Linked DNA regions of Yarrowia lipolytica. The protein of the gene in region 1 interacts with the protein of each later gene in a biochemical or structural test. Links are inferred from orthologs where the notes say so. Each region holds a gene or a part of one and is shown in the gene's direction. Other genes may lie near its edges.

Region 1 (5,201 bases):
GTTTTTTTTGTTGTTTTCATCGTTTTTGTCGTTTTTTTGGATTTTTTCAATGTCGGTTTGGTTGGGGGTTTCGGTTGAGGTGGCTCCATCACCTCGCGATAAATCAGGAGGTGGGGGGTTCGGAGCGCCCAAGGAGTTACCCGCCGAAGCTTGGGCTTGCGCTGTTTCCATGGTGAACGTTTTTTCTGGTCGCGCTCGATTAATAGCTCTGTTTTGGTAAACCAAAGAAGTGAGTCGTTACATCTATATCTAATCAATCGTACTTATGATCCAACATGATCTTCAATAATAACCACGACGATGCCAAACTCTGTGGGAGTCTAATGAGGACGGGGTTATATCGGAGTTCAATTGCTGGAATTCCATTTTGAGAGAAAGAGGGCATATATCTGGACTTGTTGGATTCTAGAAAGACTCTTTGCACGTCCCTACCATCTCTGTTGCGCCTCTGAGAGACTGCGCATGTTTGTTCAATGTGACGGTTTCAGCTGAAACTTTACTGGCCCGACGTATTACCTTCAACGTATTAATGCGCCGCTCTAATTAACAACATACAAGAGTGGTAAAACAAAATAGGTTGTTGGACGAGTTGGCGCGGTGTATAAAACATTCTGGGGACGCTCGGTGAGACAAAAGAGGCCCAAAGAAAGCAAAGGACTAATAAGAGCGTATTCAGCGCGTCTCGGCGGCTAATTCCACTGAGCACTTCGGAGTCTGTCTGCACAGGTGCGTTGTTCACATAACTGTGGGAGAGAGAGAGAGGGAGAGAGAGAGAGAGAAGAGAGAGAAAGAGATGTGGATGGAATTATGGTCTATAAATAGAACCGGCCTACAGCAACACGAGGTCTCGTGCTGTAAAAACACATTCAGGGTCTCGCAATTTCGTTGCCACGTGGTAAAAAGGCTTCTTCGTTTGTACAATGAATGGACTTTGGCGACGAAAAAAACCACGAATGCGAGTCATCGGACCACTTCTTGTTTGGATATTGCAATGGGGTAGAAGAGGCTACAGTGAAGGTACCTGTTTTTTATTGTAATTGTATTGTATTGTATTGTATTGTATTATATTGTACTGTACTTGTACTTGTTCTCTACAAGTCTTATACCTACAAGTACTGTACTTGTGCTTCTCGTGTGTACTATACAACATGTCTCGTGCTCTACCCTCACACTCGTCCTCCCAAATCTTTTTAAAGGTTTTTTTAAAGATTTTCAAAGCCCGACAACTCGATAGATCGAGAGGTCAGATCGTGGGGCCAGATCGTGGGGTCACAGAGTAGAAAAATTCACCAGAGAGATGGGAAATCCGGGCTCTTTATCACGGAGGAGACCTTTTGATGGTCATCTCACGCCGTGTCCGCGGCCAGAATTGACGTTCCGCGGCCCAAATAGGCTCGGCTGACTAACATCCAGGGGCTGCGCATCTCCCAACTAAAACAAGGAGTCCGAACAATGTTGGGAAACGACAAGGAGCGGATACGAGGCCAAAACACCACGGCCGCAAAAGTCGGGTTCCTGTGCGAACTGTGTTCCGCTTGTTAATTTATCGAAGTATATATTATATATAAATATATATTATATATAAGGGGGTGGTGGTTGTCTTGTGGTTTGGTTTAGGGCTCAGGGTCCGCCACTAAACTCTCTATCTCAGGTTGTTTTATCGGGCCACTTATTACCAACCCCCCAGTCCTCTCCCCCCCCCTCACTCGTATCCCCATAAGGTTCGGTGTCTTGCTATTGTAAAGGCCCACCGCACTTGTTGACACTACCTGAGAGGACGTGACGACGTGAGTTTGAACGACACAGCACACACACGACACAAAAGCAGGCACGCTTCCATCATCGCCACGGGACTAGTCGCATCGCCCGCCCACGTGACCACACGCCTCGCACCCTCCCACGCACATCCATTTCAAAACCACGCACCGTCCACTACCACGGTCCCCCCTTGCTCCCGTCGGTCACCATGAACGGATCCTCTCGAAGACTGTCTCCGCCAAATGACAACCTGGCTCACCAGCAGATGCTGCACCAGGAGATCAACAACCTGCTACCGTCGTCGCCATACACGAAGACCCCCCAGCAACGCAAAAGCTCGTCGCAATCCACCCCGTCTCTGTCCACCTTGTCGCCGTCCACACAGAACTCCACATACCCCTCCACGCCGCGTTTGCGATCCATGACGCCCACCATGTCCATGTCGTCGGTGCAGTCAACAGCCCCCACCTCGGTGGCTCCCATGCCGGTGGCAAACCTCGTCATGAACAGACAGGCCGACTCGGAAAAGTCGCTCTACAATATGTGCAAGACCATGCGGGACCGGTTCCACGACATTGAGCAAGTGCGGCCCTTCCTGGAAGACTCGGAAATGTCGTCCATCGTGCCCATCACCCACCTACCCCCCTCCATCCCCCTGGACCCCGTTACCCAGCTCTGGTCTTTGTTCCGACTAGGAGCCCCCCTGTGCATCTTGTTCAACATGCTGCAACCTCGAACTCCACTCACAGTGGACCCCCACGCCGCCGCTAACCGCGCGTCCATCGACGTGCGAACATGCAAACGGTCGGTCTACGACTTTGTGCAGGGCTGCAAGGCCGAGCTGGGCTACTCGGACGACGAGCTCTTCACCATCTCCAACCTCTTTTCCGAAAACACGGGCGATCTTATCAAAGTGATGCGTACGGTCAGCATGGTGGTGGAGACGCTGGAGGCCAGACACCTGCTGCCTCCGAAAACTGCACCCATAACCGCACCCGCCACCCGAGACGCGCGATACAACGTGGTTCAAGAGCTGCTACAGACAGAGCGAAAGTACGTCCAGGATCTCGAAATACTGCACGACTACCAAAACCGTCTCCTGGAAGCTGAAATCCTAAACCCAGACACTATACATCTCATGTTTCTGAACGTATCTGCACTGGTCGACTTCCAGAGAAGAGTACTGGTCGGTATTGAACATGTGTGCTCTCTGCCGGTCGAAGAGCAGCGCTTTGGCGCACTTTTCCTCAACATGGAGGCTGGCTTTCACATCTACGAGCCCTACGCGCTGAACCAAAAGGCGTCCTCCGATCTGGCTGTTCAGGAGGCCCCCAAACTCACCGCCCTCGCCCACATCATCGAGCCTACCTACGAGCTCCAGGCCTTCCTCATCAAGCCCATTCAACGAATCTGCAAGTACCCATTACTGCTACGAGAGCTGGTAAAAGTGAGCAGCAGCGACCATCCTTACGCGTCAGAGCTGCTAGACGGTTTGGAGGCCATCAAGCGGGTTACCAACAGTGTCAACGAGACACAGCGAAGGGTGGAGAACGTGGCTATCATTCAAGACCTGTGCGAGCGAATAGATAGCTGGAAGAGCTACAACCTTGAAGATTTTGGAGACCTGCTCTACATGGACCACCTTACGATTGCAAAGGAGTCCGGTGAATATGAGTACCTGGTGTATTTGTTCGAGGCCATCATCCTGTGTTGCAAAGAGACACGTGATAAAAAGGGTAAGACAATGAGTTTGCCCTCAAAGAAGCCACAAAAGACAGTTCTTTCTCTCAAGGGCCGAATCTACATCGCCAACGTGACCAACATGATATCTAGTACAGAAAACGGATACTCTTTGACGCTTACGTACAAAGGAGACGGCTATGGCTCTATGACCATGCGGTTCCGACACGAAGAGCAACTGCGACAATGGGATGCTACCATCAAACAGCTGCACGACTGGTACAACCAGGACTCGTATGAGTCTCACTTTTCACCTCTTGTGGAGTCTCCAATCAGCAGCCGAAACTCCCAGCAGAGCTCGCATCTGTCTGAGGACCTGGACCGACTGACGCTTGGAAATCGGTCTCTTTCAGGCCCAGTGCCCAAGCTGGGCCCCCGACAGCACTCCACCACCTCTATCAACGGCATGCACGGGGCTAACGGCATGAATCACAGCTCGGTGTCCATTGCGAGCAGTAATGGAGGAGGCATGAGCCGGGCTAGATCTGCTTCTACTCCTGGCTTTGATGATGGCTCCATGCGTCCCTCAAACATTAAGGTACGCGTACAGTATTTCCAGGACGTATTCACGCTCATTGTGCCTGCCAAGGTCACCTACGATCAGCTGATTGAGCGGGTGGAGCGAAAGGTGCGACTGTGTGGAAAGGTGGTACCTGCCCCTCTGCGAATCAAGTACCAGGACGAAGACGGAGACATGGTGACCATCCATTCGGATGAGGATATCGCCATGGCTTTGGAACAGAAAAATTTGGAGCAGTTGAATATTTGGGTCGCATAAGAGCACGCATCTTGAACAACGTGGTACGGACATGTATCAAGAGCGATCATGTTCAGCAAGAAACTGCTCCGCAACCAGCTCAGGCTGTACACTCACTACTACAAACGGCGGTGTTCGACTGCTTTGAAACGACGCAGATCTCTGCAAAAACGATATAATCAAGTTATTTATGTTATGTGACCGGGAGTGCGAGTACCGTGTGTATTGAACAAGATCTCAGGCACTCGCCCCAATTATCAACGTCGATACCAGTAACTCGTACTTGTGTGACTGGACACCTACAAGCTGTGTTCTGAACACGGAACCAGATGATGAAGGGTCACTGTTGTTGTCAGCGCGATAACATGATACAGTAAGATCCAAAGACTACAGCACGGTGGATGTAAAAAAAATGATATTAACGTCTAAGACGCGGATGTGCAAAACACATGTAAGTAAATACAACATTTGGGGTTGTGGGACTAATTGGTTGTCTCACGAGTCACTCTCTCATGAGTGCGCTTCATGGGACTCCCCAGGTGATGGGGCAGGATCACATGCGATTGTGCATTGGAGCACTCAGTTACAGACAAAAGTGGAATGTGCTTAAGTCATGGAGTACTTGGGACCATCTCCACCCTGAGGAACAGTCCAGTTGATGTTCTGGCCAGGCACCTTGATATCGCAGGTCTTGCAATGGATACAGTTCTGCGAGTTGATCTGGAATCGAACGCCGTCACCAGCGTCATCCTCAATGTACTCGTAGACACCGGCGGGGCAGAACCGGGCCTCGACACCCTTGTACTTCTCCCAGTTGTCGGCGGTATGCTTGGCCAGATCAGCCTCAGTGTTGATCTTGAAGGGAGCGTCAGCAGGGTCAGAAGTGAGCTTCAGATGGACAGGTTCGTCTTCGTCGTGGTTAGTTCCGGTTCGTGACACGGAAGTA
Region 2 (5,538 bases), about 1.1 Mb from region 1:
GAGTTGAGAAGACCAAGCGGGAGCGTGGGGGAGGAGGAGGCGGGAGGAGGGGTGGCTCACGTGACCCTAGGTCGTTATGTGTCACTGTGTGTGTGTTTGTCAAGGAGCTTTTCCGATGCTGTCGGTTCACGTCACTGGACCAGCCATGTACCTCTATCATGTCAATTAATGTGAGTCTAGTTTATTTATCTCGCGTCGCGTTTGGGTTGGGATGCGGGAGGGAGAAAACTTGGTTAGGGAGAGGAATTGTTGTAAATTCCACCCATTATTGGTACTACAGAGGACAGCAGATCTTTGGTTGTAATTCTATCCGGTTTATCCGTTTTGAAGCTGGTTTTTTTTTTTTTTTTTTTTTTTTGGTTGGAGATCTTCTCTTACTCCAGTTGTTCCGTCGCACCATCGCAATATCATCTATAGTCTGTCATTGCCGTACATAGAAAGACTAATTTTAAAAAAACGTCTGAAGGCAGTCAGTATTTTTAATGAGGCAACTTCAGGCTGGGTTGGGTTGGGTGCTCATACTTGTAGTGTAAAAAGAGCCACGAAAAACCCAGGAATCCAAGACGGAGAAGCCAAAGAAAGAGCAAAAGAAGAGAGAGAAAAAAAAAAAGGCGTCAAACTAATAATTACTCGCACCCCGTAATTAGACGCCCGCTAGCTATCTATTTCTCGTCTCCCCTCACAACACTACTATCCCCTGTCTGTCTTGCTCGAGGTGTATCCCCTCCGAAAAAGCCTATCGCGGTTACGGTTGGACCCCTTTACTCACGGACTGTTTTGACAAGTCCAGAAGCTAGATTTTGAGACCACTGAACCTCATCATTGTCTTTTTTCCACCACTTGTCGAGCTTTGCCAAAGAAATAAAAACCACAACGAGCGACGCAGAACGGAGAAGAACGAGCCCTCTCGATTACTCAGTCCCTCAACGACTCTCTGCGACTCTCTTCACGACCCTCTCCACAACTCGCTCTAACGACTCTCTCTAACTACTTGCATTTTTTCCCATAATCGGCCCAGATTCACACACGCACACAACACCAAAGGACCGAAAACCAGGTACAATATACGGATCCAGATACTCACAGATACAGAACCGGATACTTGCGACAGCGATACACTAACGACAGTGATACTCACCAACACAAAAGCCTCCTCACACAGACTCAGTTGCAAAACGACACATCATCGATACTAGAATTAGACAACCGCAAGGACACTCTTTGGAACAACGAACGACACACAGGCTAAAGTGAGTATGATAGACGAACTGATAGAACATGGATGGGTGTTTGCGACTATGAGGTGATGGGCAAAGTGAAGAGGAGGCGGATGTCTCCAACCTTGGGCGCACTGTGTGCATCTGCACTGTTGGTGTGACGATTCGACACGTGTAGGACACATTGGACACAGGGGGGGTGGGAGTCACATATGACAAAATCGAGGCTATGAGCAGATATATGGGCCATGCGGCACTGCTTTCTGCAGATGGGCTGATCATATGGCACTGCGTATATTGCCATGGTGTGTCTCATGTGTCCTCACATCTCATTTTGCCTATCTAGGTCCATCTGACCACCAGTGATCTCAGCACGAAGCGATTCATTTCAACCCACTCTACATCAGAGCGAACCGTCCACCATACAAAACTGTGCAGAGACGTTGCATTGTGATACACAGCCCTTGATACACAGCCCATGTATAGCGTGGAGCGTCGCACTGCCATGAGTTAATTGCACATCCCGACTATGAAAAATCCCGACCATGGGCAATACCAAACTTTCCATGATGAAGACGCTACGACACACACAGCTGTCCAAGGAGCCCACATTCAGCTCATGATGTATGCAGCTTCTCCTGTCGTCCCTACATTCGAGATGCTCGCAACACTCATTTCGAAGACTGTACTAACTCAGATGTCACAATTCAGCCAAGCATTTCTAAACCCTGGTCCTGCCCCACCGCCACCCAAGCCCTTCGCCAGTAGCCTCACCGCCTCTTCCAGCGGCACAAACCTTTCCGGGCTCATGACCCCCACAGAGCCCCGTACCGCCCCCACCATCACACGAGACGCCATCACACGACCCGCGTCGTCCAACAGGGTGCTCAAGTCCGGGTTCGCGTCCGTCAAGGAGGATGGATCATCGTTCCGGTCGCTCATGTGGACTAAAAAGTACTTGGTGTTGCGGGAAAATGCATTGGACTTTCAAAAGTCGGAGACGTCGTCAGTGCAGTTCTCCATCCCGCTATACACGGTCTCGAACGTGACACGTGTCGATCTCAAGCCATATTGCTTCGAGATTGTGCGGTCGTCGGGCTTCAAGTCCGTGTTCGTCGTCTGCAAGAATGACACGGAGCTGTACGCCTGGATCGATGAGATCTACTCCAAATGCCCACTCATGGGCGTCTCTAATCCCACCAACTTCACACATAAGGTGCACGTTGGCTTCGACCCCATCTCCGGAGGCTTCACTGGTCTACCCGACGCCTGGAGCAAGCTGCTTTCGACGTCAGCCATCACCAAGGAAGACTACGCCAAGAACCCTCAGGCCGTCATCGAGGTGCTTGAGTTCTACAGCAAGGAAAATGTTGAGGCCATGGGATTCAACGCATCTTCTTTGGGCATTGGCATTGAGAACAAGTTTGATGAGGGCCTGACAATGGACGCCGCTCGTGTGCGGGCCATGCAGCAGCAGCAGAAGCAGCAGCAGGCCCAGCGTATGGCCAACAACCTGCAGGAGTGGACCAAACCCGTCCCTAGTACTGGCTCTTCCAGCTCTTCAACAGCCACCACTCCCGCACGATATAATGCCACACGAAAGAACGACGACGATCTTCTCACGTCTCTTTCTCCGTCCACATCCGTCCCCCGACGACCCTCGGTCCCCAACGTCACCCGGGCGGCCCCCCCACGGCCTGAGCGACCTGATGGACTGCCATCGACCTCGACGATCCCTAGGGACCGAAGCGAGCTGCGACAGGAACTGCGTAACGAAATGCGTGCCGGTGCTGGAAACAGCAGTGGAAGCGTCAGCGGAGCCAGTGGCAGCGGCACTCAGACCCCCGTGCATCCTCTGCTGCGAATCAACCCCGACGTTGACTCGTACCAGCAACGACAATCGCCCACCAGCAACACCGGAGGCAACTACCCCACGACGCCCACGTCGATGACCCAGTCGTCGTCGCAGGGCTCTCTGTCGTCCAAGACATCGCCCACCGCATACAGAGCCTCTCCCGTGGCCACAGCTGCTTTGCACGATCTACCGCCCCCCCAGCGACCCATGCTGCGACACAAGAACTCCAGTGGTTCTATCAACTCTGTGTCGTCGGGAAACTCATACGTCGCTCCTCTCATGGTCAAGAAGGCCATCCCTGCCAACCGGCCTCCTCAGACTGCCCCTCCGGTGCCTGCACAGAGCGGTGGAGACAAATTCCAGCCCCAGCGAGCTGCTCCTGTGCCTCAGCAAACTCAGCAGCCCCAGGCACTCCCTGCATCTTCAGGTACGTCTGCTGCTCCCGCTCTTGGAGCGGCTAACCAGTTCAAGCCCCAGCGGCCTGCACCATCGCCCCAGAAGACGACCCCCAAGACGTCTCCCAAGAAGCCCTCTGCTGCTGGTGTCGGCCAGGGTGGCTACCCAAGAATGTCTCCCACTAAGACGTCTCCTACCAAGACGTCTCCTGGTGGAGCTAGTGCTGCCGCTGCTGCCGCCGCCGCCGCTGCTACAACTGCTGCTCTCGAAGGTCCCAAGAAGAAGCCCCAGCATGACGAGCGTCGAATCTCGACCATGACCGACGCACAGATCACCGAGAAGCTCAAGTCGGTGGTCAACCCCCAGGACCCTACTCCCTTGTACCAGAAGCTCAAGAAGGTGGGTCAGGGTGCGTCTGGCTCTGTGTATGTGGCTCGGCCTATGACCAACGAGTTCCAGCTCAAGAAGGTGGCTATCAAACAGATGGATCTGGCGTCACAGCCCCGAAAGGAGCTCATTGTGAACGAAATCATCGTCATGAAAGAGTCGCAGCATGCCAACATTGTCAACTTCCTGGACGCCTATCTGCGAGGCACCAACGACCTGTGGGTGGTCATGGAGTATATGGAGGGCGGTGCTCTCACTGACATTATTGATAACAACAGTCTGAGTGAAGAGCAGATTGCCACAATTTCCGGCGAGACCTGTAAAGGTCTGCAGCACTTGCATCATCAGAACATTATCCACAGAGACATCAAGAGTGACAACGTGCTGTTGGACTACCAGGGTCATGTGAAGATTACTGATTTCGGTTTCTGCGCCAAGCTCACGGACCAGAAGAACAAGCGAGCCACCATGGTCGGCACGCCATACTGGATGGCCCCTGAGGTGGTCAAGCAGAAGGAGTATGGTGCTAAGGTAGATGTGTGGAGCTTGGGTATCATGGCGATTGAGATGATCGAGTCAGAGCCTCCTTACCTGAACGAGGAGCCTCTCAAGGCTCTGTACCTGATTGCCACTAACGGTACTCCCAAGCTGAAGCATCCCGAACGGCTCAGCAAGGATATTAAGGCGTTCCTTTCTGTCTGTCTGTGTGTTGATGTCAATTACAGAGCCTCCACCGACGAGCTGGTCAACCATGAGTTCTTGAAGAAGGGCTGTGGCTTGCAGAGTTTGAGTCCGCTGTTGGCTTACAAGCATAAGAAGATTTAGGACATGGGTACGGTATAGGTATAACGGTGAATATGGGTGGAATTTGGACTTTACATAATTATTGAATTAAATAGAATGACCTGAGTGGGTGTACATTATCGAGATTGTTCCATATCGTAGGTTGCAAAGAGTTGGGGGATGTGAAAGCAACGTGGGAATGTAGAGGTCAGTGCCTTAACCTAAGCGATGGAGGTTCGTCCATGAGTTTTTTCCTTCAACTTATTCATTATATTCTTATAGATAGACGTATCCGAACAGGAAATTTGTTGAACTGGTACAGCCAGGCGTCATTAGTTCATTAAGTCAGTTTGAAAGGTGTGGCCAGAGACGAGCACCAGGCGGCAGTTACAGCATCCAGGCATTGTTCGTGCTTTCTGCCCGGCCTACTCCTTCAGACCCTGGTAAGTCAACGCCTCGATAGTCTGCCACAGCACCATTGTGTCCATGTCTCCAAACGGCAGAATCTGCGCCTGGCATAGACCAGCAACACCCTTGGTCCGATCGACCCACCAGAATGAATTCATGATACCGGCCCACCAGCCGACATTGGGACCCCGGCCAGTTTGGGTGGGTTCCACGGTCTGCATGAAAGAAATGCCCCATCCCTGAGGCGCCTCTCCCTGAGGAAACAGTTCGGGCAGAGGGTTGGTGTACTCAGGTTTGGCAGCAGGAATGCCTCGTCGTCCATAGTTGGGCCACTGGGGGATTTGGTTGGTGAACATCTGATCCACAGACTCCTTTGACAAGATCTTACCTCCGTCGTCCAGCAGAGCAGCCAGCACCTTAGTATACTCGGATCCCTTGGCGAAGAACCCTGCTCCAAAGGACTCAAACGCGGCCTTGGTTGGGTACACATGG

What was found.
Region 2: of the proteins of YALI1_C20646g (region 1) and YALI1_C31453g, one has a biochemical effect on the other in vitro, tested with the Saccharomyces cerevisiae proteins (3 studies listed by BioGRID, with this or other methods). The link is inferred for Yarrowia lipolytica from reciprocal best matches to the Saccharomyces cerevisiae genes CDC24 and CLA4.

The regions. Positions count from the first base shown.
Region 1 is NC_090772.1:2,061,400-2,066,600, reverse strand, and holds YALI1_C20646g (uncharacterized protein), read left to right. Parts: upstream 1-1,966; coding exon 1,967-4,276; downstream 4,277-5,201. Other genes in the region: YALI1_C20664t (uncharacterized protein), read right to left, coding at 1-171; YALI1_C20597g (uncharacterized protein), read right to left, coding at 4,862-5,201. UniProt on the Saccharomyces cerevisiae protein: Promotes the exchange of CDC42-bound GDP by GTP. Controls the polarity of calmodulin, and the calcium regulatory process of bud emergence. CDC24 may be involved in the initial selection and organization of the budding site.
Region 2 is NC_090772.1:3,141,532-3,147,069, reverse strand, and holds YALI1_C31453g (uncharacterized protein), read left to right. Parts: upstream 1-1,746; coding exon 1,747-4,680; downstream 4,681-5,538. Other genes in the region: YALI1_C31408g (uncharacterized protein), read right to left, coding at 5,064-5,538. UniProt on the Saccharomyces cerevisiae protein: Involved in budding and cytokinesis.